Linked DNA regions of Arabidopsis thaliana. The main gene of each other region encodes a partner of the protein of the gene in region 4 in a complex. Each region holds a gene or a part of one and is shown on either strand. Other genes may lie near its edges. The genes, in order: SKIP, SR45, AT1G60900 and SCL30A.

Region 1 (7,651 bases), on a different chromosome or scaffold from region 4:
GGGGCAAATGGGTCTCCGAGATCCGAGAGCCTCGCAAGAAGAGCCGAATCTGGCTAGGCACTTTCTCCACACCGGAAATGGCGGCGCGTGCACATGACGCAGCTGCTCTCACCATTAAAGGAACTTCCGCCGTCCTCAACTTCCCGGAGCTCGCCACTTACCTTCCCCGTCCAGCTTCCTCCTCTCCACGCGACGTTCAAGCCGCAGCCGCCGTAGCGGCCGCCATGGACTTCTCCCCCTCCTCCTCCTCTCTCGTAGTCTCCGATCCAACCACCGTCATCGCCCCAGCTGAGACGCAGTTGTCTTCCTCGAGCTATTCAACGTGTACGTCATCGTCGTTGTCACCGTCAAGCGAAGAAGCTGCGTCGACGGCGGAAGAACTAAGCGAGATAGTGGAGTTACCGAGTCTAGAGACGAGTTACGATGAGTCATTGAGCGAGTTTGTGTACGTTGACTCGGCGTATCCACCTAGTTCGCCTTGGTATATTAATAATTGTTATAGCTTTTATTACCACAGCGACGAAAATGGCATTTCGATGGCTGAACCTTTCGACTCTTCCAATTTTGGCCCCCTTTTTCCTTAGTTTTATTTTTAAATAATCTCTTCTTTTAAAAACATTTAGCCTCCAAACCTCTGAAGTTTATTTAATTATTGGATTCAGACCAGAGTTTAATATACTTGATTAAACCTGATAGTACCATATAATGTTTATTGCTCTCTTTTTTTTGATCGGATCTTCTAGATATTTTGTACGAACACGCCAATTGTGATTGGACGATAAATGGTTTTTTGTTTATATTTTGCTAATTAACTTATATAGTTTAGGTGACCATTTTTTATACTTTAGGTGAACATTTGAGAATTAAACTATTTATATCAAAGTAGCGGTAGATAAAAGTATTATCTGAGATGGTTTGTTAGTTGACATATATTGAATCTTTTCAACTTGGTATTTATTATCACCCTCTGTATTTAATTCACAAAATTTCTACTGTTAGCTTCATATAACCAACTTTTTCAATTTAAATTATTGTTTACAGTGAATGAGAAATACAAGTACAATGCAATATTTAGGAAATACACTTTTGAGAAGAAAAATAGAAACTCATTTTCTTTCCCTAATTAAAAACAATTTGTACCAGAGAAGTAAAAGATTATCGTTCTACCAAAACGAATTTGCAGGTTAAGGATTATTTATCATTTCCTCTTGTTTGACTTTGTTTGCATTAGTCAGACATAATTAATGGCTTGACCCTTAATTTAACATGTCCATGCACTAACTCATATGCAAATCCAACGATGTGAAATTTAAAACCTTTTTTTTATTCATTTTTAATCTTTGTAAAACGAACTTATATTATGTTTGAACAAATATTTTTTCATACGCAATCCTTAGATGGGGAAATTAATACCTTTGTAACAAAAAAAAAAAAAAAATGTTAAATCAACTAAGTATTGGGTGAGTCTTCTCAACGAAAACATCAATCAACACCGGCCTCATAAGTTGATTAAATTAACACATTTATTATAATCATCGTACATTGATTTGAATCAAAATTAATTGTTACGTTAATTAGTAATGCATCTAACTATCCCGTAGGAAAAGGCCATTATATTGGGATCCGCGGTCAACGGAGGTTCCACCCACGAGCACGGTCTTTATTTGTTTTTTCCTTTCTCAAATATATATACGGATGTATGATTTTTTGCTTTTGGGGTTAAACAAATATGAATTACTGTGCTTAGATCAGAAATAGACACTTTTATACAAATGATTATATGATTACTGTTCATAGCATAAGCTCCTATGAAAACAAATAATAATCGCAACAGCCGTTTAACCTAATCGAATGCTGAAAAGCCCTCAAAATAGTTCATCTAATCCATGAATCGATTTAACAGAAAAAGTTGAAAATTGTATGCATATGATATACTCAAGTATATTCCGAGTTTTGAGTTGTGTAATGCAAGGAGTCAAGGACCATAGTTTGTCGTTGAACACAACCACGCCAAGTTGTCCACCAAAACTGGAAACTAACTACCATGCCGTTGTTTCCATAGAAGCAAAACCATTAACCTTCCCATTATCCCGCATGGCCACATATATGTTTAATAATATTTCTCACCATACATTTAAGTCTCTCTCGTAGTCGTTATTTACATAGCCTACGTAGTTCATTCATATCATTTTTGTTTCTTTACCTTATATCAAACAAATTGGTTGTTGATTAGAAAAACATAAATTGGTTCATTAAATATCAAACTAACGCCATCAATCTATTGTTTTTTTATAAAAAAATGAAAGAGAAGAAAGTTTGTTGATATGAAACTTACACTTGCTTTGAGTTTTGATAGACAAACCAAAGCCTAACTAGTATTTCCTCTATTGGTACTTGAATTCTGAACTTTTTCACCTTCCCTTTCGAGGTGGTTTAACAGTATACCAGTTGAGATGTACCAACACCAAATTCTTATACTTTTTTTTCTTTTAACCTTGAATTCAGTATTTTAAACGAAACTATGGGAATGTGTTTGAGACGGATTTTCATTAAGGACAATGCAAATAATTATGAGATGCTCAGAATTGTTGTATATATCAAAAAGCCAACACCTATAGTTATATATATAACTTTCTTCGATTTAAAAACAATAAGTCGCTTTGGCCGAGTGGTTAAGGCGTGTGCCTGCTAAGTACATGGGCTCTGCCCGCGAGAGTTCGAATCTCTCAGGCGACGTTATCCTTTTCGTTTTTTCGTCTATTTTTAAACCGACTTACATAGACACTGCGTATAAGACAATTGATTCCTTTTTTTTGTTGTTAATCCTATCAACCCTAGAAAAGGCTTCACGCCCGATTTCTTTTTTCCCCAGAAAAAGGCTTCACTTCCGTTCGTTGTTCTTCATCGGTCTGCGCCGCCTCGCACATCGTTTCACCTTTCTCAGAATCTCTCTTCCCGTCGATTAGTTTCCTCAGAGGTTAGCTTCTTCGATTTCTCAGATTCAATTCTGCTTTTTGCTTTCCTCCTGTTGTTTTTAGGTTTTTGTCGATCTCTATGTTCAGCGATTCCTAAACCCTACTTGTTTTCCGCTCTATTGTAGTGAATCCAACCCAGATTTTTCAGATTTTAATCGGAATTATTCGGGATCTAATGCTCGCGTCGAGTTTATCGCTAGAAAACCCTAATTTCGGAGGATCTGTCACTTTTATTATCAGAAGCTTGTTGTTGTAATTACGGATTAGGTATGTCCTGATCGTTATTGTTCTTTGTTTGCAGGTTGCGATTTGTTGAAAACCTTGATTTAGACTATGAAGTCTCTTAATGATCTTCCTGCGCCCAAATCAACCACTACCACGTATTATGATCATTCTAATGATGCTTGGTTCAAAAACCGAGTCACTGAATCCGAGACGGTGAAATCCTCCAGTATCAAATTTAAAGTGGTGCCTGCTTACCTGAATCGTCAAGGTTTACGTCCGAAGAATCCAGAGGATTTTGGCGATGGTGGTGCTTTCCCGGAGATTCATCTTCCTCAGTATCCTCTTCTTATGGGTAAGAATAAATCCAATAAGCCTGGAGCTAAGACTCTCCCTGTTACTGTCGATGCTCAGGGAAACGTGGTCTTTGACGCTATAGTGAGGCAGAATGAGAACTCGAGGAAGATTGTTTATTCTCAGCATAAGGATATTATTCCAAAGTTTCTGAAAAACGAGGGAGACTTGGGTACTGTTGTTGATGAAGAGGAGGAATTGCAGAAGGAGATTCAGGAGACTGCTGAAGAAACGAAAGCTGCCATTGAGAAGATTGTGAATGTGAGACTGAGTGCAGCGCAGCCTAGTAATATAGCAAGGCAATCGGGAGATTCACAGTACATTAAATATAAGCCATCCCAGCAATCTTCTGCCTTCAATTCTGGTGCTAAAGAGAGGATCATTAGGATGGTGGAGATGCCTGTAGATCCACTTGATCCACCAAAGTTCAAGCACAAGAGAGTCCCAAGGGCTTCTGGTTCTCCGCCTGTTCCGGTCATGCATTCACCGCCCAGGCCTGTTACCGTCAAGGACCAGCAAGACTGGAAAATCCCTCCTTGTATCTCCAATTGGAAGAATCCGAAAGGTTACACAATCCCTCTTGACAAACGTCTAGCTGCTGATGGAAGGGGCCTACAAGACGTTCAGATCAATGATAACTTTGCCAAGTTATCAGAGGCCCTCTATGTAGCTGAGCAGAAAGCTAGAGAGGCTGTTTCAATGCGTTCCAAGGTGCAAAAAGAGATGGTGATGAAGGACAAGGAAAGGAAAGAGCAGGAATTGAGGGCTCTTGCCCAAAAAGCTCGCTCCGAAAGAACCGGTGCTGCTATGAGTATGCCTGTCTCATCTGACAGGGGTAGGAGTGAAAGTGTTGACCCAAGAGGTGATTATGACAACTATGACCAGGATAGAGGAAGGGAAAGAGAAAGGGAAGAGCCTCAAGAGACGAGGGAGGAGAGGGAAAAAAGGATTCAGAGAGAAAAGATACGAGAAGAGCGTCGCAGGGAAAGAGAGAGGGAGAGAAGGTTGGATGCCAAAGATGCTGCCATGGGGAAGAAGAGCAAGATCACCAGAGACAGAGACCGTGACATCAGTGAGAAAGTTGCTCTTGGAATGGCATCTACTGGAGGAAAAGGTGGTGGTGAAGTTATGTATGATCAACGTCTGTTTAACCAAGACAAAGGAATGGACTCTGGTTTCGCTGCTGATGACCAATACAACTTATACGACAAAGGCTTGTTCACTGCACAACCAACTCTTTCGACTTTGTACAAGCCAAAGAAGGATAACGATGAAGAAATGTATGGAAACGCTGATGAGCAGCTCGATAAGATCAAGAATACTGAGAGGTTTAAGCCTGACAAAGCTTTCACAGGGGCTTCAGAGAGGGTGGGTAGTAAGAGAGACCGACCTGTTGAGTTTGAGAAGGAAGAGGAACAAGATCCTTTCGGTCTTGAGAAGTGGGTTTCTGATTTAAAGAAGGGTAAGAAACCTTTGGACAAGATCGGGTCTGGTGGAACTATGAGAGCAAGTGGCGGTGGTGGTAGCTCTTCAAGGGACGATGACCACGGCGGTTCTGGTCGAACCAAGATCAATTTCGAACGCAGTGACCGGCGTTAAAAGTCAAGACAAAGAAAAAGCTCAGTAACTGATCTTTGATTTCAATATATAACTTGTTATTTTGGATCTGTTAAAACAGTTTGCTTTGGATTATCAGTATTTATGTTGTTGTGAGTCTCTTAAACTACTCGAATACAATCTTTCAGCTTCATAATATCAGATCTTTTGAGCTTATTTTAGTTTCTTTTTCACTGTTACAACTTTGTGTACTTAAGAATCTTAGTTTTGAATCAGGACAACAACAAAAAAGACACATGTTCTTCTCTGGTCTTATCTCCAAGCTTCATGTTCATGGTACTAAGAGAACAAATCACTTCACGATCTTTCACCGTTTGAATCATTTCGTCACTACATCATCTTCCTCGGTTACGCCTCTTTCGCCTCAAGATCGAAACAAACTCTTAGCTACTCTGTTATCAAACTGCACTAGCCTAGCTCGTGTTCGTCGGATCCATGGTGACATCTTCCGTTCACGAATCCTCGATCAATATCCGATCGCTTTCTTATGGAACAACATCATGCGATCTTACATTCGCCATGAGTCTCCTCTCGATGCAATTCAAGTATATCTCGGTATGGTGAGATCGACTGTTTTACCCGATCGATATTCTCTTCCGATTGTAATCAAAGCAGCCGTTCAAATTCATGATTTTACGTTGGGAAAGGAGCTTCATTCCGTCGCCGTTAGGTTAGGGTTCGTCGGAGATGAGTTCTGCGAGAGTGGGTTCATTACATTGTATTGTAAAGCAGGGGAATTTGAGAACGCACGTAAGGTGTTCGATGAAAATCCTGAGAGAAAGCTGGGGTCTTGGAACGCCATTATCGGAGGGTTGAATCACGCTGGTCGAGCTAACGAGGCGGTGGAAATGTTTGTGGATATGAAAAGGAGTGGACTTGAGCCTGATGATTTCACTATGGTTAGTGTGACTGCTTCTTGTGGAGGATTAGGTGACTTGAGCTTGGCTTTTCAGTTGCATAAATGCGTTCTACAAGCTAAGACCGAAGAGAAGTCTGATATCATGATGCTGAATTCGCTCATTGATATGTATGGAAAATGTGGGCGTATGGATTTAGCGAGTCACATATTCGAGGAAATGCGACAGAGAAACGTTGTCTCTTGGAGTTCTATGATCGTGGGTTACGCAGCTAACGGGAATACATTAGAGGCTTTAGAATGCTTTCGTCAGATGAGAGAATTCGGTGTCAGACCAAACAAGATCACGTTCGTTGGAGTTCTCAGTGCTTGCGTCCATGGAGGTCTTGTGGAGGAAGGAAAAACATATTTTGCGATGATGAAGTCAGAGTTCGAGCTAGAACCGGGATTATCGCATTACGGATGCATAGTTGATCTATTGAGCCGTGACGGGCAGCTTAAGGAGGCAAAGAAAGTTGTTGAGGAGATGCCGATGAAGCCTAACGTGATGGTTTGGGGTTGTTTGATGGGAGGGTGTGAGAAGTTTGGGGATGTTGAGATGGCTGAGTGGGTGGCTCCATACATGGTTGAGCTTGAGCCGTGGAACGATGGTGTTTATGTTGTCTTGGCTAATGTGTATGCACTCAGAGGGATGTGGAAAGATGTTGAGAGAGTTAGGAAGTTGATGAAGACGAAGAAGGTTGCTAAGATTCCTGCCTATAGCTATGCTTCAACGACATTTTGAAACTTGTTTCTCTACATGTTCGAAAAATGTAACATCATAACAAAGAAGATCAAGATAATTTTTCTAATTAGATCCTTAATCCTTCTATTTTATTCACTCACTGAGAAACAACACCTGACATTGCAGTTTTAGATTTAGTAAATTAAGTACTCAGATATCGTGTTGGCAATTTTGCTAGTCATTTCCGACATCAAGATCATGTCGAGAGGAGTTTAAAACTCGATTTCAACTAATTGAAGGCTTCCGGTTTAATGTGTTCAATTTCCGGTTTACTGATTTCATTTTGGAAAACAACAAGGCGGGACCCAGGAATTGTTTTGACAGCGGGTAGGACCCAATTTCAAAGCAAAAATTATGTAAACAAAAAAGATAGGGTCCACACGCTTTTAGCCCGTCTTAATTTCCCTAATTGCAAGTTTAGGCTTCTAATTTACTATTTTACGAGTTATTAGTATAGCACCATATGAAAAATTTAAATTCTAGATGACTAGATAGCATTCAAATCAAAATGTTGTAAATCATTGGATTATTACTACCGTTATAATATCCTAGAGATTCAAAATCGTCATAATAATATTTTACTATCTTGTTAAGTATGTATATATATATAAACATGCGTGTGGCATCGTCGTATAAGACAAATCTATAGAAAAGTTAATACTATAGATTAGCCATCAAATGAGTTTGAACGGACAAATTTGCTTCCGAGATAATCCTGCTTCCAAATATCGAATATGTGACAATGAGTTTGATCGATGGTAAGCCCATTTTGATCAATATTATAGTATATGCTATGACATGCATATCTAGCTAATTTGATCGATAATAAAATAGACACAGATA
Region 2 (7,717 bases), on a different chromosome or scaffold from region 4:
AACTGTTTTCTAAACTATGTTACCTACAGAAACATCTTCCCCATATGGGCACTTGCAGAGTGGTATGTATATTTATTTTCTTTGAGTGGTATGTACTGTGTGAAGTTGAGGAAAACTCTATTTTTCGTTTTAAATAAAAGTTTGTGCACTCTCATTAAGATGCATGGTTTGATGCAAAATTGTTGTTGTGCATCTTAGGAGCCCTTAAATTATAATTATTTATTTCTCTGAATGAAACAAAAAACCAATTTCTTGTGTATTTGGATCACCAGTCTTTGTATGGATTTCTTTCTCTTTTAACTAAAATAATAAGAAAAGGGTGAAGGAGCCAGCCATTCTTCAACAAGACTGAATATATTAGGGAATTACAACCAGCTAAAAGAACCAAGTCATTATCGTTGCATCTAATGAGGAGATCCACAAAAGAAGATTAAACATCCAAACACTACAAAAACCACAACTCTCATTTGGTCACTGGTAAACATTTTATCTGTTCTAAGAAAAGAGGCTGAGACAGATGATAACGATAAAGATGGAGAAAGAGAGCTACATCAAGACTCAAGTTTTTTTTTTTTTTTTTTTAATTTTTATCACCTTTAAGTTTTACGAGGTGGAGGTGGTGGTGGCGGTGAACTGCTGCTGCTGCTGTTACTGCTGCTTCTTTTTCCTCTCAGTGGCCTAAACATACCCAACAACAACCCATTTTCTTTTATTAGACTTCAACGCAAAAAATTTCTACACAACAATTCTATTTTTCTCTGTTTCATCACCAAACTCACCAAGAAAGTATAGGTCCCAGATGTTTATGCTATGTCTTTTATCAGGAATTGGGGTAACCCTTAACTTTACTATACATAACTTAACATTGGAACTTCTTCAATTAATGCATTCTACAGACTATAAAGTGTTTCCAGTTTAAGACGAGGATTAGTGTTAAGACAGAAAGTGTTTACCTCTTAGGACTGCGGCTCCTTGAAATCTTCCTAGGAATCTGTAAGGTTTAATAATGCACAAATGATAGAAAGTCAAGAGTCAAGACATATAACTCGCAAGGCATCAAAAATTTTATAGCTAAAAAGGGATCTGCAAGAAGCCCTTACCCTTCTGGGACTTGGTGAACTAGAGTAAGAAGATGACCTCCCACGTCTCCCAGCTGGACCTCGTCCCCTGCTTACAGTTAAAGACAAAATTAATTCATGAACAAACCCCAGACGGATCTATATAACTTAGTCATATTGGGTATCAACGTCTCTAGGAGCTGGTATGTCAGAAACCTAGGTAAAAGGATAAGACAATGTAGGATCTTGGGGTATACTCATGAATTATGAAAGACTTAAAAACTTGTTATGAATCAGTCTTAGCTATGCATCTGTAACAAAATAAAACCCACGAGAGAGACCCCAGAAAAAAGTTTAAATGAGTTCCAACATACTTGCGGGGTGAGATGGAACTTGAACGAGAGCGACCAGGCCTACGAATTGGGGATCGGCTACGCCTACGGATTGGAGATCTTCTGGGAGGACTGCGTAGTCTCCTTGGAGGTGGAGACCTGAAACACGCCGAATACAAAACATATATAAAACTGACACATTTTTCCCGGTCTAATTTACTGAGTAATATAGTCTATAAAGCTGTGATTCCTAAACTTCGATTACTAAGGGTGTAATTCAGGTACCAAATAGACATACCTTCGTCTTAGAGGAAGAGGAGACCTTCTTCGAACAGGACTGCCACGAATTCTTCTAGGGGAGCCCCTGCTGACAGATAAAAGGTGAGCTATCGAATCTGAAACACACCAGACAAAACAGATGGTGCCATAACTAACCTTGGAGGAGATCTATATCGTCTTGGAGGGGGAGAAGATGGAGAACGGCCTCTAGATGGTGATGCTGGCCTACGTCTAGGAGGTGTATCACCGCGACGGCGGATAGGAGAGCCCGGCCTCCGGCGATGGGGAGAATCAGGTGATCGCCTTCTAGGTGATAAGCCTCTCCTAGGTAGAGGTGATCGCCTTCTCGGAGAAAGCCCTGTTTTCCGTTGAGGAGATGCTAAGCACATATTGATGATACTAATTAACACAACATAAAGCATATACTACAACAATTATAAATAACCAAAATATAAGGATTTGACATACTCTCTCTTGGGCGCCTGGGACCACCATCTTTCTCAGCGTCAGCAGCAGCATTATCAGATTTTGGAGCATCTCTTTTTGGTGCAGCTGAGACAGGTTTAGGGGGTGAAGATACTTTCTGACGAGGTGGTAGTGTGAACGTTGCTTTAACAACCTTTCCATCAATTTGGGCCTGTGTTCAGTGAACAAAAAAAAAACATGCATAAATCTTCTCTGTCAATATGTCAAGTACAGTGCATTTCATAATTGGAAAGAGACATACACCATCCATGTAGAGCTGAGCTTTCTCAGCATCAGCTCTTGCCTTGAACTCAACATAACCATGTCCTCTTGGAAGATTAACCTGTTAATAATATTCAAAGGAATTATGAGCAGATTTCAACAAGTGATGCAAGTAAACAACAGAGAGTAAAGAGAATAGCAACTTACAGCTCGATCCATCGCAATTTCGACATGTATAACTTCACCAAAGTTGCCTAATAATAACATGAAACCAAGCCATGTTATAAGACTTAACATTTAGCCAACACAAGGAAAACAAAAGACCAGTGATGATCGTAATGCCGTATACACTACTGATGACATTAGCGGACATGTGTAGACAGTTATCATGTAGTAAGATTAGAAGAAGCAGAAGAAACAGAGAAAAGAGAAATCAACATACCAAAGATTTCTTTGAGATGGGCTTCATTCACATTCCTGCTAAGAGAATCAACATGGAGAACAAGAGATTCTTGAACAGCTTTCCTGAAAGCATAAAAGATTGTAAAGTCAGTAATGACGAAAGCATAAACACTAGAATATATTTATGTGAACGAGTCAGATATTACTTGGAAGGTGAAGATGCTCCTTTAGATGGTGGAGGAGGAGGAGAGCGACCTCGCCTAGCAGGTCCAGCAGGACTACACAAGAAGATACATCAGAACATCAATTCGAATTCGAGCTGAACGAACCAAGAAGAATGAAAGCGAAATTACACAAATCCAATTCGAACAATTGGTAAGTGATTGAAAGAAACCCTAACCTTTTTCCACGACGTGGAGGACTGCGACTCCCAGAACTGACGCTTCGCGAAGGAGATGAAGATGAAGAGAGCGATCTAGAACGGGAGCGTGAGCGGGAAATAGACCTGGAGGGGCTCGAACCCGAACGAGATCTGGAACTGGAACGAGATGACGAGCCAGACACGGAGGGGGAACGACGGCCACGACTTGGTTTCGCCATGGGCGAGAGATATCGAGAAAATCGCGAGAAACCTTGCTTCAAAACCCTAGCGGATAAAAAAGATTAGAGGAGAGAGACAGACAGACAGACTGTGACTTTTTTTTTCCAGTCTCCTTTTTTTTTCCGCGGACTGCAAATTAAACCGAAGATGATACGTGGCAGGTTTTTATTTGCTTGATAAATTGAGGGATTTATATGTTTTTTAAAGCATTTTATAAAGTATAAATACCATAATGAGCTCAATTTGTGTCCTTTCCCATTTTTCATATCAGATTTGAATGTGTCACTAATCAAAAGTTCTTCAAATCCTACAGGAAAATTCAAACAGAAAAGCTAGTAACTCCCATAAAAAATTCAACAACTTATAAAATGTTGTAATCGATTGTCTGTGGTCGTGTACACCATCCAATTAGGATCAATTAGATACCATTTTTCTATAGCTCTCTTGTTGTCCCATAATTTGTTGATATTGTTGTTGCCTTGGTACAAACTTAAGAGCAATCTCAAAATCAAAGTATCTTAGATTGAATCTAGTCATTGAATAACACCGAAACCATTAAGGTTTATTCATACATCTATATAGAAGTGTCAAATGGTCATCTGACCATGGGCTAAGCCCAGTCCACAACATTATGGACAGTCCATGGTCGGCCCGTAATGAAAACGGGCTATATGGTCTAAAGACCAATTTTGTCCATGGGTTTAATGGGCTAGCCCACACGGTTTATGGTTGGCCCATCAATTTTTTCAACACATAAATTTTTTTCTCTTCTCTCTCTTTCGGCAACGACGCTCTCTCTCCCGGCGACAAAGCTCTCTCTCGGCGACGACCAAGCTCGACCTCTCTCTCAACTCCTACTCCGGTTAGTTCTACTAGCTTGTGGGTTTGTCCAAAGTTCAATTGTGAATTTTGGATATGAGGAGAGCTAGCTAGCAAATGGGCACTTTTCAGATTTTGTTTATGTTTCGCCATTTCGAATTTCATTATGAATTGAAGCACATCAATATGTAGAGACCCTTTGTGTTGTAAGTTCATGCTTAATTATTCCAGAAGGCTAGTGATTTAGTCAAGTTCATGCTTTATTTGTTTATCACTGCTAAACGTGTGTATGTCTTTATTTGTTTCAGAAATATGGAATTGGATACTCAAAACTTGGTTGATGAAGACAACTTTAATCTTGAGGATCAAGAAATGGACCATGAAGATCCAGAAATGGATCAGATACTACCTCATGAAACTGCTTCTTCAGGGACAGCTGAGAGAGGTAAAAGTAGTGTAAGTAGATTTCGTGCTGCATGCTGGAAAAACTTCGATAGAGGACAGAAATATCCTAATGGGAAAACTGAGGTTACATGCAAATATTGTGAGCAGACTTATCACTTGAATCTGAGACGAAATGGTACTAATACCATGAATCGTCATATGAGATCTTGTGAGAAGACTCCTGGAAGTACACCTAGAATTAGCAGAAAGGTGGATATGATGGTCTTTAGAGAAATGATTGCAGTGGCTTTAGTTCAACATAATCTTCCATATTCGTTTGTCGAATATGAAAGAATTAGAGAAGCCTTTACATATGCTAACCCTTATATAGAATTTTGGAGCAGAAATACTGCAGCTTCTGATGTCTACAAGATTTATGAAAGAGAGAAAATTAAGCTTAAGGAAAAGTTAGCTATAATCCCGGGTAGAATATGCTTAACAACAGATTTGTGGAGAGCTTTAACTGTTGAAAGTTATATTTGCTTAACAGCTCATTATGTAGATGTTGATGGTGTTCTGAAAACGAAGATCTTATCTTTCTGTGCTTTCCCGCCTCCACATTCTGGAGTAGCTATAGCAATGAAGCTTAGTGAGCTGTTGAAAGATTGGGGAATTGAGAAGAAAGTTTTTACTTTAACTGTAGATAATGCTTCTGCAAATGATACTATGCAAAGCATTTTAAAGCATAATGCTTCTGAAAATGCATTCTTATACTTAGTGAGAATTTTGTTTTGTTGGTCATATTTCAGGGGTTTTACTCTTACTTTTCTGAAAGAAATGGAACTGGAAAATCACCATTAGATATGTACTTGGAAGAGCCTGTGTTAGATATGGTCTCTTTTAGAGATATGGATGTTATTGCATATTGGAAAAACAATGTCTCGCGTTTTAAAGAATTGTCATCGATGGCATGTGATATCTTAAGCATTCCGATCACTACCGTGGCATCGGAATCAGCTTTTAGTATAGGTAGTCGTGTGCTTAACAAATATAGAAGCTGCCTTTTACCTACTAATGTGCAAGCCCTCCTATGTACTAGAAACTGGTTTCGTGGATTTCAAGAAGTTGGTAATATTCACATCTTGAACTCGTTTATAATAGTAAACTTATATGGCTTTTGGACTGCAGCTTTTAGATTAATAGCTCGGTTTTTCTTATTGAAGAAACTGATGAGATCCAAGGTCAAGAGGACACAAACACCACCCTTGCATGAACGTTTCAAGACTGGGAAGAAACAAGTACATGGTTGTTCTCTTAAGCTCTGAGCCTATGGTTATGTGTTTATTATTCTCAGTACATGGCTGATTTGATGATGTATGTCTTTGACAGATTGTTATAGGTTGTGATGGTATCCGGTCTAAGGTTGCAACTTGGATGACAGATTTTGGTTTGGAATTGATTCTGGATTTTGTCTCTTACTTATAATCATTTGTGATTGATTACATTGTGGAAATGTTGTTTAAGCTTATTGTTTTACCTAAGCTTATTGAAGATGGCCACTTCTGGTTTCCAATTTCTAGATGTTGGAGTAGTATTGAAATGGGTTTCTCTGTTAAATCATTCTCCATGTAGCCATTGTAGGCTTTTTTCTTTACTTGTAGGTGCATATAGAGAGTCTTAGATGCGTGTTTGAGTTGTCACGGTTGATTACAAGACTGGGAAGAACAGGTACATGCATGTTTGATTTCATGTTGATGTTATGGTTTTATAAATAGAGCTTTTGACGAGATTGTGTGAAAATGCATTGTATATAAACATCATTGTATGGGCTGGCCATGGGCTGACCATTGGACAATGGTCTTTAATGGTCTTGGACAAATTTTTAGACCATTGTCCATTAAAGACCAACCAATAAAACCCATGAAAAAAATGGTCCAAGTGGACATGACCAATGGGCTTTGGACAGCCCAATTGACACTTCTACATCTATATAAACTAATCTGATTTATCATCATAAAACACTTCCAACGCCATTTGGTCCTATTCTTGCAAAACCTTTTACAATCATGAATCATGGTGTTTGAAAATTGTCCATCGTTTTTGCAAGATACAAAGAAGAGGATTCAGATAACATGAACAATATTATTAAAACTAGGCCACAAGGTTGGGGTACAATGTCTTAAACAAATAGTAAAGCCAGAAACTTTAAAGAAGAGAATCAAACCTACTAATTAAGAAAGCAACATACTAATTAAGCTTCAGTGAGATGGAAAAGCCTTCCTACAAATCAGTAGATCATAAAGTCAAAAGCTAATTCTAACTCATTGTCCAGAATGTTGATGGTTCCTGATCCTGCTTGAACGTCTCACAGGTGTTATCATCTCTTTCTCTTCGTGACCACTTCTCTTTTGTATCTTCTCATATGTTGTGAAACTTCCATATGAAACAGAACCTATGGAGTACTCTGATGCAGAGGAAGCCATGGATTCACCGCTATCATTACTCTTCTTGCCTCCTCCTCCGCTTTGATGTTCTTTAAGATCATCTTTCTTGTTGCTGCAGCTGTGTAATGGTTTGTTCTTACTGAAGCTGAAACTCATCTCAGAAGGGAATGATGATACCTCTCTTTTTCTGTCATCACCAACTTCTTCTTCTTCTTCCTTGAAATTCAATGAAGAAAGCCTTTCTCTGATCAGATTCTCTACTGGCACATGCTCGACAACTTTAGTTGCAGAGATTGCTGTTGGTTCGCCATCTTCATGTTGCAGCATCACAGGTTTTGTCTTCTTCTTGGCTAATAGGAAACCAGCTGCTACTGCTGCAAGTATAACCATCATAGTCGAAAACAAGACTAACACTTTCTTCTGGCCACTCAACAAAATGTCCTCCGAACCTGCATCATTAACAACTTCACCAAACCCACTCTCTTCTTCTTCTACTTCATTACCGTCATGTTCAACATCTGTAGCTTCTTCTGAAACACTGAGGCTACCTCCAGCAATTTCCCCAACACCTTCTTCTTCTTGTACAGTTTCAACATTGGCTACTCCGGTTTGTTCTTGCTGGTTACTACTGATTGCAGCAGACTGCACATCGTCAAGCAGTTGTGCGTCGGATTCAGCTTCTTCCATGTTATTCTGGTCATTTTCTTCATA
Region 3 (8,969 bases), on a different chromosome or scaffold from region 4:
ACTGATTTCAACATTGATCCTTTGATTTAACCAACTTACTTAATCATCATGTCTTGTTTATTTAGGCTATTATCTAATCTAGCTGTGCATTATTATTTTTTGGATTTTTTCGGTGTTTTGGTTTGGGAAAAAAAAAAGCTACTAATATAAAACCAAAATTTTGTTCAGTTTGATTGAGACTGAAATACATTTAATTAAATAACAAAAGAAAGGTTCATTGTCGATTTTATTAGCAAACAAGTCAGTTGTCCAGCCTTTGGTATGAAGAAAGGTGGCGATTAGGTCTTTGTACCGTTTCTGATTCTTCTCGAACTCTGTTGGCTCTGTCTCGGCCTCGTGGTGGCTTGGTACAGTAGTGTGTAATTCCACTGGAGATAGAGAAAGAGGATTTGAGAAACTCATGTTGTGTTCTTTTGAAGATGAGTGCTGGTCTCTGTGTCCATGAAGCTAGTTTTCCCATATATTATTGCTGCTATAATCGTAACTAAACCTATCCATAAACTTATCCATTAGATCGCAGGGAATGTTTCATTCTAAGACATGTAACTATTCTTATCTCTAGAGATTTCATACCAAACAGAACAAACGAAAAGAATTATCTCTAGAGATTTCATACCAAAAAGAAAATGAAAGAAACATAAATTCCTCCTAATGAAACAAAATTGAAATATAAGATCCACTAAGTTCCTTATGCACACATATTATGCACTGGCCTTCTGTATTTAGAATCATCTCTCTTGTTATAAATTAAAAAAAAAAAAAAAACCAATAATCACCAACTCAAACTGCAAAATACAACAACAAAGAAAAAGACCAAGAAGATTAAATACATCATTTTTCGGTTTCTAAACAATGGCTGCACACAAAATGAGTCTTACTAGTCTTTTCTTTGTGTCAATAGTGATTGTATTATCATTGTTCAGCGGATTCGGAGAAGGAAGATACATAAAATATAGAGCTATTGCAAAAGATAGAGTTCCAGACTGCACTCAAGATCCCAAAAATTGTGTCAGAGTTCCAGTCAACCAGTACCATCTTCCTCCTGGTTGTCAAAACACTACACATTGTTATCGTGAAAAGTATCATATTTAATTATGTATTCATATATACAAATCATTTTCTACTAAATATGAAAAAAAATTTATCACTAATCTACATTATTGATGTGATATGGAACTTGTTACATTATCAAATTTTAATTATTTTAAAATTCTTTCATTTTTTTTAACTTCAAATTATTGTTATATATATTTTAATAAATTATAAATTAATGTGTTATCAGGCATAACTTCAAGTTCGTGTAACATGAGATGTGTCTTGTGAAAGCATGACATGTAACTTTCGTTGTAAAATAAAATAAAAAACAAATGAGCTCAGATATGAGGCTATATTATCCGATTCATCGGAGAATTGCTAAGGACCCAACCTTAGCTTAAAGCAAATTTCATCAACGCTCAAATGCACCAGCCGGGAATTGAACCCGGGTCTGTACCGTGGCAGGGTACTATTCTACCACTAGACCACTGGTGCTACTTGCCTACTATCTTACTTTTCTAATATAAATCCAGTATTTCACGTTTAGTGAGAGCAATTGCACATGTTCCAGCATTGCATTTAGAAACTGATGTGGTTTGGTCTTTTAGTTTTTAAAAGAACAATAATATAAACTGATGTGGTTTGGTTAGTGTTCAATGAAACCAAAAGCTACTATTACCAACACACACCTTAATTGATTGTGCCTGGACAAGTACTATTGCAGTCAGATTCTAGACAAATTTCTCCATTTAGTAGAGAGAGAACTAAACATGTAAAAAACTTAAAAATAAAAAAGAACCAAACTTGTTGCTAAGAGATCCAAACTAAAAGCTTAAGAAGAAGACGATAGATAGCTCAGTCTTCGTAGTCGCCTTGGGCATACTTGTCTTCGGGGTAATACACAGCCACTACTTGGTTTCCTCCAAATTTTCTTCCATTCATCCCCGATCTGGCCTTTGATGAGCCATCCACATCCGCATACTCTAAGAAAACCTGCATTAGTATTACCATTAGAGTATGCAATTTATATATGAATTTGGTAGACATTTGTATCTGAGGACTGAAATCTAACCTTCCCAACTCCTGGTGTTGGGTCATGATCTGGATTAGGCCTCGGAATCACAACATTCACTAAGTTACCTACACACACAACAATGATTTATCAAAGTTCATTTTAGACCATGAGCCTCAGTAATGTGCTATTGGTATAATGTCAGAACAGACAATAAGAAAATCTAATTGCTTACCGAATTTTCCACCTTCTTGTCGCATGTCCTCCATTATCTCTGCATATTCTTCATCGTCTCTAAGATCATCAGCTGTAACCACTTGAGTCAAACAGACAATCTTGGTGGGAGTACCTCCTGGTTGGAACATAAGCCTCTGCAACAAAGTTTGAGACAGATTTAGCATTACTGATCATTTAGATAGAGTGAATCAGAATCCTTTACCTGCAAAGCAATCTGTTGTTGGGCATAAAGTAAGACTTCTTCTTGCTCGGGTTTAGGTTGAATTGCACCCTGGATTGCACGCCTAACTGTAAGTGTCTTATCACCCATCTTAATCCCGTTTAGAGCGGCACATGCAATATCTGTTACTGACGGATCTTGGTAAACACAGAATGCATATCCCTTCGAATTTCCAGTCTCCCTGTCTTTGACCAAGTTGAAACCTCTTAGGGGCCCAAAAGACTCCAAGAGCTCCCTGATCTGTACCTCTGTGAAGTAATAGGGAAGTCCGCCCACAAAAATGCGGTCGGGACCCTCAAGCCCACCAGTAGACCCTGAAGACAATCCAACAGCCCCTAAGTTGAGGTTGGGATTAGGCTGGCTCGGACCAAGAGTTGCAGCAAGAGACGGGTTATAGTCAGTTGGCCTCCTCACCTTTACAGGAACTCCCTAGAGATGAAAAAAGCTATGATTTCAGATAGGTTTCAATACTCATAATACAGATTGTAACTAATAAACACCAAACATCTAAAGTGTAGAAGAGCTAATAAATCACCTCTAATATAATGCCGTCTAATGCCATTGCGTTACTAGCCTCCTCAACAGATCTCATCTCTACAAAAGCAAACTTCTTTTCGTGGTTTATATAAACATTGACCACCGCATCACCTATGAATTAATAATCCAAAAAAAGGATGAGATTTCGTATAGACTTGCGGCCAATATGACAAAAATATAATGAACTTTTCAATACCTGGCCCAGCAGTGTTTCCCCCAATGGCCGACATCACTTGGCTAAAGAACGTTGACACCGACTAGGACATGAAAACCCATTCTCAGTAGGCATACAATGGATATTGAAATGTGGTTTAAATAGACAATAATAAACAAAAAGTCACAAAACCTTAAACAAAACAAAAGTAACAAACCTGTTCATTAGCAGTTGGTGGAAGGCCACCAACATAGACTCGCCGAGCATGCCTAGTTGCCTGCGACTACATATTTTAGGAAGGGAATCGTGACAAAAGGTGAAGAACCTAAGAATAAGATAGATTGATAGATCGTACCTGTTGAGTCATTGCCTGAACTGGCAGTACAGGAAGCGCACCTAGTTGCTATGTGAGAAAAAAGATTGAGAAGTTCTGAGCATGTTCGCATAAAACAAAAGAAAAGAGGAACATAAGAGACACAAAAATACAAATTTTTATACCTGACCAGGGACCATTGGAAACATGTTTGAGAACATCCCTGGAATAGTAGCAGTAGTTGGCACACTAGGAACCTGGCCTGCTAGGTAAAGTAGTATGCGTCATAAAAATGTTTGTTAGATACATTATTATGTTTCCCGGAGGAGCAGACCTACCAACAAGTACAAAGCTACAGATAACACCTTGCTACTTACAAAACCCACAAGTAGAAAGTATACCAACAACTTATGAATATTAAAATGAAAAGTTGTGATGTAATATTCGTTTTAGTTGTCAGAGATTGTAAGGCTCGAAAACAGGCATATAGTTGCCAGTCGAAGATGAAAAATACCCATGACAACCGTTGCACTGATTCCTCCTTGTACAATTAAAGCTAGAGAGGTCGGCTCATTGTCAGCACAGTGGGGCAACTAACCCAACATAGCCTTCTTACTACAAAAAGACAAGACACAGAAACAAACAAACACCACCAAAAAAACACAAACAAAAAATTTCTCAGTTCCAGAACCACCAGTCAAACAAAAATAACAAGACATCCTATGAAGAAAGCAAGACTTCAAAGTCCTCTTTGTTCACGAGTAAACAATAAAATTGCAGCTTACCAAAGTCACACCGTGTAATTGACTATGATCTTTCCAAACTACGTAAAATCAAAAACAACAAGCAGTTAAGAAATATAATAACCCTGAGTAGATGATGAAGCAAATACCTGCTGCAGCAACAGCAGTAGCAGCTAACATATCAGGAGGCGCCATATCAAATCCACTTCTCCTCTTGCTGAAAGAGCAAAATATAATTGGTTAGACATCAGTAGAGACGAGTTCGAAAAAATAATGCCAAGTAAACGTATGAAACACACATAAACATCAATGACCCAGATCAGACTAAAATATTGGTAATCATATAAGGAGGGACCGTTCAACCCAGTAGAAGACCATGATAATCATATTGTGTCAACAAAACAAAGACATCAAATACTAAACAATAATGGTTTTATTTGATTTGACATCAATATCATAACACATTGCAATGTGGCCACGGAAAGAACTAGTTAGAAAAGATAAAAATAGCAGGAGAGCCCAGGTACCTCTTTGACCTTGATCGCGACCGTGAGCGTGATCTATGTTCAGACTTATGTCTATGTTCTGACCTTGACCTACGTTCAGAGCGGCTCCTTGACCGAGAGCGTGACCGTCGCCTGTGTCTCACCTCTCTGTCTCGATCGCGAGACCTCCTCCTGTCGAGAAATGACTACACCTTCAATTTTAAGAATAAAACAATCTAAAACTACAAAAACAATTGCAACACACTAATGAGTACCTATCACGGTCTCGACTTCTGCGATGATGATCATCATCCAAATCATCTCTTTTCTCACTACGTTCTCTGCTACGGTCCCTATGACGATCTCTATGATGACGGTCTCGTTGCCTATCCTTACTTCTCTCCCTATCCCTATCTCTATCTCTGCTTTTCTCCCTATCTCTGTCTCTGCTCTTCTCCCTATCACGATCCTTCTCACGATCACGATCTTTGTTTCCGTCTTTATCACGTCCATTTTCATTGTCTTTCTCACTGATTTTCGAAGAATCCTTTTTAAGATCATGAGATTCCTGCAGGAAACAAATGTCAAAAGGCTTCTCTCATATACTATCCCCAGATTTCTAAAGAGAACATATGAACTTAACATGATAATATATACTCTAAATCCAGTGAATCCTTCAAATCAAACTATCAAAAACATAAATTCAACAAGCAGAATCCGAGAATTGTACCAAATTACAATACAAGTGGAGAACAAATTATGATTACCAGTCTAATTCACGAGAGAAACCTAAAAGCTACAGAATCGAACGCAAGATATGTAAAGAAGAAAGTGTAACATACTCGAGACTTGGAGTCTTCATGAAAAGGCGAGCTCTCTAGAGATATGTAGTTCTCGTTGTGGTTTTCGGTGGAGATAGCGACACCATCTCCGTTGCCTTCGTAACTCATCATCCACTTGTGATCTCTTCTCCGATTGGTACTTATCGTTGAGTCTGATTGTGTATGGAAGAAAACCCTAGGGATTCTAATGGAGGATGAATTAAAAATTATGAAGATTCTTCGAGGAAGATGAAGTGATATATGGGTATTATTGTAAATTGAACAGTATTTTTTGGTGTTACACCAAAACCGTAAATGGGCTTGTCTAGTCCAAATTTGAAAACTAGGGTCTCATTATACTTAATGGGCTTATCAGCTTTATCGGCTTATAGTCTAAATTTTTAGTTTCTATCACCAAAAAAAAAAAAAAACTAAATATTTTAAAAATTGATCATTCTAATATTGTTTTACATTATTATTTTTTGTGTAATTAAGGGTTGATTATTATTAGATGTCTTTGTTTATGACTTTTTAAAAGTGTGTTTTATAAGTCTTTATCTGATAGTTTAAAGTCACATATGTTTCTAGGCGTAACTAGCAATTGAAGATGAAAGACCACGTTAAAACATCACAAATATCTCCGGCGTTTAGAGGTTTCTCTCACCATGGATCAAATTCAATTGTTGACACAAAATATTACAAAAAAAGAAGAAGTTTAAATTAGCTTTCATTTGACGGTGGTTTGAAGTTAAACGTACTGATGGATTGGAAAAACATACGATTCTAGTGAAAACAAGTCAACCTAACAACATATATTGCAGAGACTGGTCCACACTCGATCCCTTCATGGACCGTAGCATTCACGGCCAATCAATCTGTTCATTGAGTTTTGACTAGTGTCAATAATTCATAGGATTTTGTTTATATGAAATAACTTTGATATGAGTCAATAATTCATACGAATTTGTCTTTTTCTGTGCTTCTTGAAGAATCCTTTTCAAGATCATGAGATCCCTGTTTTAAAACGGAGATGTCCAAGGCTTGCTTCGTCATAAGTACGACGAAAAGTAAAATGCAATTATATCTTCGAACATCTCTAGATCCTATTATTAAAACACTTAGGGTTACTAGGAATAGATTCATGTGGAGTGTGAATTATGAAGATAGATATTTAGGAGCCCATTAATCGTTTAAAATTATGGCCTCATTATGATTCATTGGCTTAATAGTCTTATTTTTTATTTTATTGTATCCCAAATATATACGTTTGGACACAACCAGTTTTACGGTAGAAAGATTCGAAACATCCCCATATTTTTATAATTTGACTACCATAATATTGTAGAAAGAAAGCATAGCTATTAGAGACTAGTACTTACCAGTTTTTTTTGGGTTATTTTATTTTTAGTTCTAAAACTAAGATAGTTACAAAAACAGATGATTCTAAATATTATTATGTAAATTCTAAATTGATTAGCATTAATTTTAGTACAAAACCTAATAAGCATCATTACAATAATGAAAGACTGCAAGACCATTGGATTGCTAACTTATATATATATATATATATATATATATATATATATATATTGGGTCTTATTAATAATATAAAAATTTACAAGTTTTTTACCTGGTAGTTATAATGGTAAGATGGTACATAATGATGTATAAAAAAGAAAAAGAAAAATAGTACAGAAAAACTGTAAAAAAACAGTGTAACAATTTTGATATTTGATTGATAAATTTATAAATTGTAGAAATTGTAGTGCTTTGATTTTGTTCACCAATCAAAGCCATTGTTTGTTCAGTTTGTCAAACAGTCGACAATAGAAACAGTCATAAAATGGTGTTCTGATGTTGGGCCCAAAATTTTCTTTTTAATATTACCCTTAATTTTAATATCCTTTTCAATTGGATTTCTCTTTTGGTTTCCTTAAGGCAAAATTTTTGGTTGACTAGAGAAATATAGAAGAAAATAGAGAATGGGGGCAGAGATGCATGAATGATGAAAGTGATGAAAAAGGACGAGAGGGAGAAAAAGAGAGATAGATGATAGGTGATGTGACATTGACAAGTGATGGAAACTATTTAAAAAATAAATTTGGTGAATTTGAAGAGGTAGAGACAACGTAAAAGTTTTATATTCTCCTAAACAGTTCTATTTTGTGTTTCGTTTATATTTATACTCCTATTTCTTTTCTTTTACTTTTTGTTAAAATATATTGGTATATCTTATAATTGCACAAATATAAAAACAATTATAATCACAATCCTAATTCCAATAATAACTCATAACAAGCTTAATTCTATAAATTGAAGCCAACATATAGCATAACTACTTAAATAGCTAGCACTATAGCCACTTAAATGTCGATAGCTTGGTAGATAGATGGACGTTCTAATCGTTCACAATTGTTGTACTGACAACATCCACTATTCAGTATCTTGACAACATCCACTATTCACTATCTTGAATTGCGGAATCCTTAAATTTCACGTTACTTTGATCACCAAAGAATGTTTGAACAAGAGATTTTATGATCTATGAATATGTGACATTATATTTCGATTAGCAAAAAAAAAAAAAAATCACAATTCGGCCACAACCATACGCTAACAATTCATTATGATCTTAAGAGATTACAAAACAATTCATCAATCATAACACACAATATATATATTAACATAACAACAAATCAATTAATTAAAATGAATACAACACTGGTTAATCAACTCGAACTCTAAATTGTTATCATCTCTCCAATCTTTTGAACCCTTAGCCTTAAATCAAAACTTCTCTTAAAGTAAGATTGCTCTTATGGATGAACTCCACACACGCGAACCTAATTTAAACCGAGCTCAATTTTAATATTATACCAACAGTCAACACACAACAACAATAATATTCGGATAACTTATACAATCTCTCTAAATAAAAACAATAGTTAGATGTAATTAGGTGCTGGTTTTTTACAAAGAAAATGGCCATCGTGGATAGGATCAATCCTTCGTGTGGTGGATGGAGAACGAATCAGATACATTTAGAGAATTAACTAATCAAAAATTAAAACGAAAATTAGGTTAATAGTAGTTTAAAAAGATAATTAAAGAAGGTAAGATCTTGAATTCTTGATGATACTTAGCAACGACGAGTACGGCAATGAGAGGGACAAATAAATAAAAGGCAGAAACAACAGAAGAGGGCCACACACCACTTTTTTTTTTGTCTCGATGCGTTACGTGACAACCACATAACTTCTTCTTTTATTTATATATATTTATATTGATATTATAGTTTCTTCTCAATCACATGCAATTTTTCTGTTTTCATTTCATTTATTTCGTCCTTTTTGTTTCAACAACTATTACTGTTTCTTATTTAACTTGTTTTTAGTTTTTTTTTCTTTAACAA
Region 4 (7,612 bases):
AGAAAAAACTGTTGTTTTTTTTTAATCTTTTCAGGAGAGTTATAATTGGTCAAATATGGTAAGAACCCTAAAAATAAGTAAGCAACTTTTTTTTTTGGTGAATTCAAGAAAGCAATTTTAGATAACTATCTCATGGCTATTAAGAAAACAGAGGATTTCCGACAGAAGTAAACTAATGGGGTCTGGAAACTAAGCAACGTTCTGAGAACAGAAGGGGAGAAACAGTAAACAAACTCATCGAGCATTCGAAAAGACACAATTTTTAATCTTTAACTCTTTTGTCGTTTTCGTTCTTTCAGACATGTGCTCTAGAAACTGGATTTGCAGAGCAAGGAAGAATGTGGAAGATACAATGAAAAGCTAGCGAAGACAGCAATGTGAGACAATGAAACACCCAGATGCAAAATCAAGAAATTATATACAAAAGTACCTAATTGGAGCTTGCCTGGTTCTAGATTCACTCGGCGAGAATTCAGATCAGAGAGAAGAAATTGAGAGAATGAAAGAAAAAGAAGCCTCGAGGTTTTGCTGCTGAGAGACAGAGAACAGGTTCAGAGATGTTACTAGTGTAGTGAACCCACCGAAGAGGAACCCAAAAAGTAAACACTTTTTTTTCTTGTCTTTCGGCGAATATTATTTGTCGAAATTGAAAGGAAATGGAAAAGAAAAAACAAAAACAAATTAAGAGATTGATTTGCTCTCAGTAAACTTTGGTTTCATCTTTCCTTATATATAATGCGTGGGAAACCAGAGAGGTGTGTTTGTGGAATAGAAGGTGAGGGGAGGCTTCAAAGTTCAAAGAAGCTCTAAATAAATTATTAATTACCTCAATGTGTCACACTAATTATTAATTAGCTCAACTTGTCATCCAAACCCAAAAACAAAAAGGAAATGAAAACATCATTTAACTACATATAATTTGGCCAATAGTAAAAGACATGGCATATACTATAGCTCACAAAACATCAAATACAACTAAGTTTTGCATTATACTTTTTAAGAAAATCAAATAAAACAGTTCAAAAATATTAACAAATATTTTAAAGTCCGTTAACAACTAATAATACGGCAATATTCCACCTTCATAATAAAAGAATACTAAATTAACAAATAAACAAGAAAACAAGATTGTAAGAGGCTCGATTACCACGCTCTTCTCATTTTCTTTCGTTTTATACCAATTTTTATTTAAATATAATCTTGAATCAAAAGAAAGATTCGTGAGTTTGCTAATTTCATGTGCATGACTCCCAAATGTTTTCTTGGAAATGTTTCTTGCATGCTCAAATTGTTCTTGATTTGGCAGTTTCTTTCATCACCGTTAAAAATGATTCAGAAATATATATATTCACCATTATTCGGAAATTGATAGTCTTTTAGAATTGCCTAATTAAGTTTTCGTATATATTTATTTTATGGGATCATTAAAATAGCAAACAATTGTTTCCAAATTTCTCCAAAACGAAGAAAGAATTGATTATCGACATTATCGCCGTGCATTTCGATCCAAGCTTAAGTGCTCTACGGGAAAACTGAAAATTCAAAAACCTGCGACGACCAAGACTTTTGTCGGATCGAGAGACTCAGACAAGTCAACAGAAGAAAAAATTTCTGGCTAAAAGAACAGAATCGTTAGTAACACTCATATACCATATGACCACTTGTAATTAATAACTTGACTTGTCTCAGGGTTTGGATTTTGGAATAAAACTTCCAATGTTAAGAGAAAAAACTAAAAAGTAAGAAACCGTTAATCTTGGCATTTTGTTTGAAAGAAAGAAACAAAGTTTTTTTTTTCTTAGATGCTTTTTGGAAAAAGAAAGCAGAAGAAAATAGCTGGAAAGTGTTCAAATGCCGATTCAAAACAAAAGGAGCCTTACGTCAAAAAGCTCCCATAATAGGACCATCTTTTTCACCATAACAATGTTAGATGAGATCTAAAAAGATAAGATGACAAATAACACATGCTAATTCAAAATACTGTCTCAAGATCATCCATGGATCAAACATAAAGCAAAATACCAATAGCACTACAAATATCTGTCTAAGTAGGGAAATATCAATCTGAGGCAAACAAAATATCTGATCAAACAGAACAAGACTGAAAAACTGAAGAGTAGAGAGATATATGGTGTAATCATAAATCACTGGCTTGGAGAACGGTCTCCATTTTGTGCTCCACGAGGGACTGGGGTCGGGCTCCTGCTCTGCCTAGGGACAGGGCTTTGGCTCCTTGCTTGTTCTGGCGTGTAGCTCCTGTTTTTTCTTGGGCTCACGCTTCTTCTTGGGCTTCTGCTGTGGCTCTTCACTCTCCCAGGACTTCCACTGCGAACCCTTGAGCCATTATGGGGTGGTGAGCGAGAGTATGACCTCTCCTTCTCATATCGTCTATCCTGAGGTGAGACAGACCTGCCATAAGACAGAGTTGGAGAGTAGAGGGTGGTTTAATCCATCAGTTAACTGTAAGAATATCTGTCAGTATGAATTTCACAGGCATGCAGAGCTAGTTACCTAGATTGATGTCTTTTAGCGGGAGGAGAATTATAGCCGCGGCTACGTGATCGTGATCTACGACCACGGCGAGGAGGAGGAGACCGAGAGTACCGAGGAGGAGAACGTCTTCTGTCCTGGAATCTGTTGCTCCTACAAACATGAAAAGATACAAGTTGAGATCAAGTCATCTCATTGTATAGACAAACTAATGCTTTTTTCTAGGAAGAATGTCAATTCACCTTCCACCTCGATCCCTTGTTCTCATCTCAGTTGGCTTCTTCCGGTTTTCTTCAGCAAATACGACAGTCAACTCACGACCAAGAAGAAGATAACCATCCATTTGATGTTTAGCCTCAGCAGCATCAGCAGGATCCATAAACTGAATGAATCCAAACCCCCTTGGATCTCTGCAACAAATCCAACAAACAAACAAAAAATCTCAGCCTAGAACCAAAAACACAATAAGCAAGAAAGATGTACAGCTTTGACGAGAAGCCTGTAGAAAAAGTTGGCATTACAATCTCCTGCAATAGAAGCCATCGTTATAAACATGAAAAAGCAAGCACTTGCCTGCAAACCTTGCAAGTTTCAGTATAAAGATGACTTCTCCAAGACTTGATATCTCTTCAAATTGAATTCAAACCCAACTTCCTTCCAACCTTCACTACCATTTAGAACATCTTCCAAAGAACTCTAATTACTTCATTGGTCTCTTCAACTCTCTAGATTCACTGTTAAACCTCAACAACTTTAATAAACAGACTCGAAGTGTGACCGAACATGGAACATATCACTGTATTCTTTCCCTAAAGTGACTCGAAGAGGGCGAAGTTTTAGGTGTACTAGACTTAAGCTGAAAACCTAAGTGTAGATAAAACAAACGTTTCAAGGCTCCAAATGTGATTTTGGGAAGATTGGATATAAAACCGGACATGTTTGACATAGACCTTTCAGAAAATTCTTATAAATCTAACAAATTCATGAGCTGCATACGATGGAATGTAGGATTCACAAAAGGTGGTTTACGAAGCAAAAGAAAACAATAAGAAAGAGACATAGTCTAATTGAAGTAATGTAAAATTATGCCCTGGATGTATAAACATTCAATGTCTTATCTACAGAGCATCCTCACCCAGTATAGTAATCCCTAGGAAGGTAGATGTCCTTGACGGGACCAAACTGCTCAAATGGCCTCCTGAGGTCTTCTTGCCTGGAGAAAAGGTCAAGAGAAAACAGAGTCAACCAATTGTAAACAACTGTGATTTTCTAGTAATATGGATACACAAGTTTATGCATGCGCTATCTAAAAATAATGAAATATACGTTTTACATGCTTCTAAATCAGTTTTTGCCACACAAAAAAATCCACCAAACCAATCTTTGATGATGAGTCATACATCAGCTTTAGGAAAGCCTTTTAGACAAGGCTAAACAAGTAATGGACTCACGAAAACTTACAAGGAAACAAAATCATTGAAAAGAAATATATAATTTTGTGTAAGAGAGAAAAGAGTAGTATACACATGCAGTAGTAAAGAATATACCTGCAATCATGACGTAAGTTGCGAACCAAGAGACTGGTTGGGAGATCACTGTCACGACTCCCACCAAACCGGCCCCGAGGGCTAGGGCTCCGGCCCCTCCTTCCATAACCCCTTGGTGGTGATGGCGTGTAGCTCCTTCCTCTCATTGTGTCTAGACTTTAATATCTATATCAATCAAGTAACCAACAGAAATTGAGTCAGAGAATGTGCTAGATATGATTGAATGATTAAGAAATAGAAGAACCACCGCAGAAGCTTACACACATCTAGAGAAGACTTCAAAAAAGTATAAAACCAAATTTGAATTCTACAAATTCCAAGCCATAAAACAATTACTGAATGTGGATATACATCTAGCTAATAATGAGTTTCAAACTAAGAACTAAGCTATCGGAGAACATCTCAAGTAACAACAAGAAAGATCGATCCTAAACAAGAATACAAATTTGAGATCAATTCAATAGACCTTAATTAACCACTGCCGATAAGATAAGACGACGAAGAAGAAGAAAGGAGAACAGATTAAGCATCAAGAGACTTACCGCAGCTAAGGAGTTGAAAAGAACGACGGACGGCGAAGAAAAACACAGGGGAAGCGGCGGGATATGTATCGGAGAAAAGAGACAGTGTTTAGAGAGAAAGTGTGAAACCTAGTTTTATGGTTTTGGATCTTATGGTCTGAAGCGAACGGGTCATTAGGGTTTTTTCTGCAATTTTTTATTTTATTTCCTTTCTTATGTATTGTCTACAAATCCTTTCGTTTTTCCCTTTGTCAACTTTTGCCCCAAATTCCTTCCAAACGTTTAGTTTTACGCACCATACTTTCTTATATTACATGTAGACCCAGTTAATGTAGTTTTTTTTTTTAAAATCAACAGATCCATTAAATGTAGTTAATTTCTTAACTTAATTGTAAAGTTTGAATCTTGTTCTTATGAGAGTAATTTAGAGGAATTTAAGTATTGGTTCAATCTAACTCTTGTGATAGAATATGAGGATATATCTTATATTAAGCCGGTTTATTTTGATCGTTTATCATTGAAATTATGTTTGGTTGATTAAAAAATGAAAATATCTAACTTTTTTTGTTATGTATTCTACACTAAAATTTGAAATCACTTGTTACTCTTACAATTTTATGTTTTCCGTATGTGTGTTTCGACAACTTCTCCAATCAAAATGCATAATAATAAATTAATCGATTTAGTTTTATTCCAATCACTTTGTTACTAACAAAATGTGTTCTTGGCATTCAAGAGACATTAGCCATACATTTTTCTTTTTTTTCAAAGAGAAATAATAGTAAAGTTCATATCAACGATTTAAATATATGGTCAAATTGAATGATATATCTAAGATACCAATTTGAAAGAAAATAAACTAAAAAACTGTTAAACTATTTTAGTCGAGTGGTTCATTCATCTTTGAATTTAAGAAACAAAAAAGTTGATAAGAAAAGTTTTTGAAAGTTAAAAAACATGTGAAGAGAGTAGAAAATATAAACCAAGGGTCTGTTTGTAAAGCCGAATTATCTGAGTCAAAACAAAAAATATCGCAACTCTAATAGGGTAAAAGCGAAATCATAAAAACATAACGAAGCCCTAGTCCAAAAATTTCTCATACTATAAAATGATTTTTTTTTTTGCTTCGCTCCCTCTTTTTCACTTCGTTAACGGCCCCGCCTCCACTCTATCCTACCGCCGACGTCCGTGATCGCCGGTTAGTCTTCTTCTTTCTCTTCGCCCTCTCAACATACATCGTTGCAGAAATCAATCGTGTTTCGAGCTGCGCGATTGCATTGGTCAGGTTTAGGAAAGCTATGTGTGTTTTGGTAGTGGTTCGGCTTTATTTGGCCTAAACAAATCTAGCTATTGGTTCAGAAGAAGGTGGAATCCTGAGAAAGCTCTCTAAACAACGCATGTGATCTAGCAATTGGATTACTTTACAAAAATTAAGAGTCTTTAAGGTGCATAACCTGTGTGATAGAATGTAATTGGATCTATGACTTGTGGACCATTTCCTAGGTTTTTTAAAAGATTTTTTCTGATATGTATGACAACAGACACGAGGATTATGCTAGTAATTGCCTGAAAGTATTGATTTTTGGAGCCTAAAACCTTTTGTATCATTTTGGTGAAAGGTTATGTTTCACTCGTGTAACACAATTCCATTTCACTTGTTACATTTTTATATATGTTTTCACTTGCATTATCTAAGAAGCTGGAATTCTTGCTTTGATTTTATTAGCAGTAGCATCTAATTTTGTTTGTTTTTCAGTTTCTCTCTTCAGGAAAAGTGTAGTTAAACGATTGAGTATTCCAATTTTGTTCTTTGGCTATGTAATTTACAGAAATGACTGAAGCAGAGTCCAAGACTGTTGTTCCTGAGTCAGTGTTGAAGAAGAGAAAGAGGGAGGAAGAATGGGCACTTGCCAAGAAACAGGAGCTTGAGGCTGCCAAAAAGCAGAATGCTGAGAAGAGGAAACTCATATTTAACCGGGCTAAACAGTACTCCAAGGAGTACCAGGAGAAAGTATTTTTCTACAAGCTTAGTTTGCAATTTTTTCTAATGTGAGAAATGCAAATTCATTGAGCGTTTCTGCTACTTGTTTTCTTCAGGAAAGGGAATTAATCCAGCTGAAGCGTGAGGCAAAATTGAAAGGAGGCTTTTATGTTGACCCAGAAGCTAAACTGCTTTTCATTATCCGTATCCGTGGGTAATATGATCTACTATTACTATCTCCCAAGTATAAGGATGATGTGTTACTTCTATAACTGTTTTCTCATTTTTCTATCTATTTGTTTCTATCATCAGTATCAATGCCATTGACCCAAAGACAAAGAAGATTTTGCAACTTTTGCGTTTAAGACAGGTAACAATCTTATGATGAGAACTTTGTAATATGTTAACCAATGATACAAAAGGATCGTATCTGACACTTAAAATCATTTATTGCAGATTTTCAATGGTGTGTTCTTGAAGGTCAACAAGGCAACCATTAACATGCTTCGCCGTGTTGAACCCTATGTAACCTATGGGTACCCCTCTTCGTGCTTACATTTCAAAACTTTCTTTTCTTATTTAACCTCATTAGTAAGTGGTAGTCTTACCATGGACGACTCTTGTTTTCCTCAGATACCCGAACTTAAAAAGTGTGAAGGAATTGATTTACAAACGAGGTTTTGGAAAGCTTAACCACCAGAGGACTGCCTTAACAGACAATTCTATTGTAGATCAGGTGCATATCATCAACCTATCTCCTTCATCAAGTCTGGTTCAGTTCCTAAAGTCAATATTATTGCCGTTATCCCTGTCCTAGAAAAAATGATGTATTATCATCAATGTTGGATTCAATTTGTCTAACAGATATGGATTGTCATTTATCATCAAAACTCTATGTCTTCTCTATATTTACATATCCTTTGCTGTTGAATCAGGGGCTAGGAAAGCATGGCATCATCTGCGTTGAGGATCTGATCCATGAGATCATGACGGTTGGGCCACATTTCAAGGAAGCCAATAACTTTTTGTGGCCATTCCAGTTGAAGGCTCCATTGGGAGGGATGAAGAAGAAG

What was found.
Region 1: SCL30A (region 4) and SKIP share a complex: the UniProt entries of both Arabidopsis thaliana proteins name them as parts of the spliceosome.
Region 2: SCL30A (region 4) and SR45 share a complex: the UniProt entries of both Arabidopsis thaliana proteins name them as parts of the spliceosome.
Region 3: SCL30A (region 4) and AT1G60900 share a complex: the UniProt entries of both Arabidopsis thaliana proteins name them as parts of the spliceosome.

The regions. Positions count from the first base shown.
Region 1 is NC_003070.9:28,997,290-29,004,940, reverse strand, and holds SKIP (chromatin protein family), read left to right. Parts: upstream 1-2,805; 5' UTR 2,806-2,977; intron 2,978-3,100; exon of another isoform or gene 3,101-3,276; 5' UTR 3,277-3,308; coding exon 3,309-5,150; 3' UTR 5,151-5,364; downstream 5,365-7,651. Other genes in the region: AT1G77200 (Integrase-type DNA-binding superfamily protein), read left to right, coding at 1-584; AT1G77170 (Tetratricopeptide repeat (TPR)-like superfamily protein), read left to right, coding at 5,405-6,808. UniProt on the Arabidopsis thaliana protein: Splicing factor involved in post-transcriptional regulation of circadian clock and flowering time genes. Associates with the pre-mRNA of PRR7, PRR9, ELF3 and GI, and is necessary for the regulation of their alternative splicing and mRNA maturation.
Region 2 is NC_003070.9:5,675,329-5,683,045, forward strand, and holds SR45 (arginine/serine-rich 45), read right to left. Parts: upstream 3,525-7,717; 5' UTR 3,359-3,524; coding exon 3,159-3,358; intron 3,037-3,158; coding exon 2,965-3,036; intron 2,882-2,964; coding exon 2,799-2,881; intron 2,611-2,798; coding exon 2,564-2,610; intron 2,478-2,563; coding exon 2,397-2,477; intron 2,307-2,396; coding exon 2,138-2,306; intron 2,049-2,137; coding exon 1,826-2,048; intron 1,755-1,825; coding exon 1,689-1,754; intron 1,550-1,688; coding exon 1,400-1,549; intron 1,168-1,399; coding exon 1,101-1,167; intron 992-1,100; coding exon 954-991; coding exon of another isoform or gene 950-953; exon of another isoform or gene 859-949; coding exon of another isoform or gene 849-858; exon of another isoform or gene 679-848; coding exon 597-678; 3' UTR 520-596; downstream 1-519. Other genes in the region: AT1G16630 (uncharacterized protein), read right to left, coding at 6,884-7,717. UniProt on the Arabidopsis thaliana protein: Involved in 5' and 3' splicing site selection of introns, and may bridge the 5' and 3' components of the spliceosome. Isoform 1 is required during flower petal development and isoform 2 is involved in root growth.
Region 3 is NC_003070.9:22,420,728-22,429,696, reverse strand, and holds AT1G60900 (U2 snRNP auxilliary factor, large subunit, splicing factor), read right to left. Parts: upstream 5,804-8,969; 5' UTR 5,690-5,803; coding exon 5,579-5,689; intron 5,305-5,578; coding exon 5,012-5,304; intron 4,929-5,011; coding exon 4,779-4,928; intron 4,469-4,778; coding exon 4,401-4,468; intron 3,771-4,400; coding exon 3,694-3,770; intron 3,599-3,693; coding exon 3,551-3,598; intron 3,473-3,550; coding exon 3,413-3,472; intron 3,299-3,412; coding exon 3,238-3,298; intron 3,153-3,237; coding exon 3,040-3,152; intron 2,934-3,039; coding exon 2,487-2,933; intron 2,419-2,486; coding exon 2,283-2,418; intron 2,176-2,282; coding exon 2,108-2,175; intron 2,029-2,107; coding exon 1,891-2,028; 3' UTR 1,644-1,890; downstream 1-1,643. Other genes in the region: AGL55 (AGAMOUS-like 55), read left to right, coding at 1-5; AT1G60913 (Rapid alkalinization factor (RALF) family protein), read left to right, coding at 853-1,092. UniProt on the Arabidopsis thaliana protein: Necessary for the splicing of pre-mRNA.
Region 4 is NC_003074.8:4,427,420-4,435,031, forward strand, and holds SCL30A (SC35-like splicing factor 30A), read right to left. Parts: upstream 4,741-7,612; 5' UTR 4,580-4,740; intron 4,203-4,579; 5' UTR 4,184-4,202; coding exon 4,038-4,183; intron 3,704-4,037; coding exon 3,626-3,703; intron 2,901-3,625; coding exon 2,733-2,900; intron 2,644-2,732; coding exon 2,512-2,643; intron 2,410-2,511; coding exon 2,145-2,409; 3' UTR 1,837-2,144; downstream 1-1,836. Other genes in the region: AT3G13580 (Ribosomal protein L30/L7 family protein), read left to right, coding at 6,390-6,569, 6,656-6,753, 6,852-6,909, 6,996-7,075, 7,173-7,275, 7,475-7,612. UniProt on the Arabidopsis thaliana protein: Involved in intron recognition and spliceosome assembly. Binds probably to multiple 5'-GAAG-3' repeats found in its third intron, suggesting autoregulation of alternative splicing. May be necessary for accurate splicing of the 3' region of introns.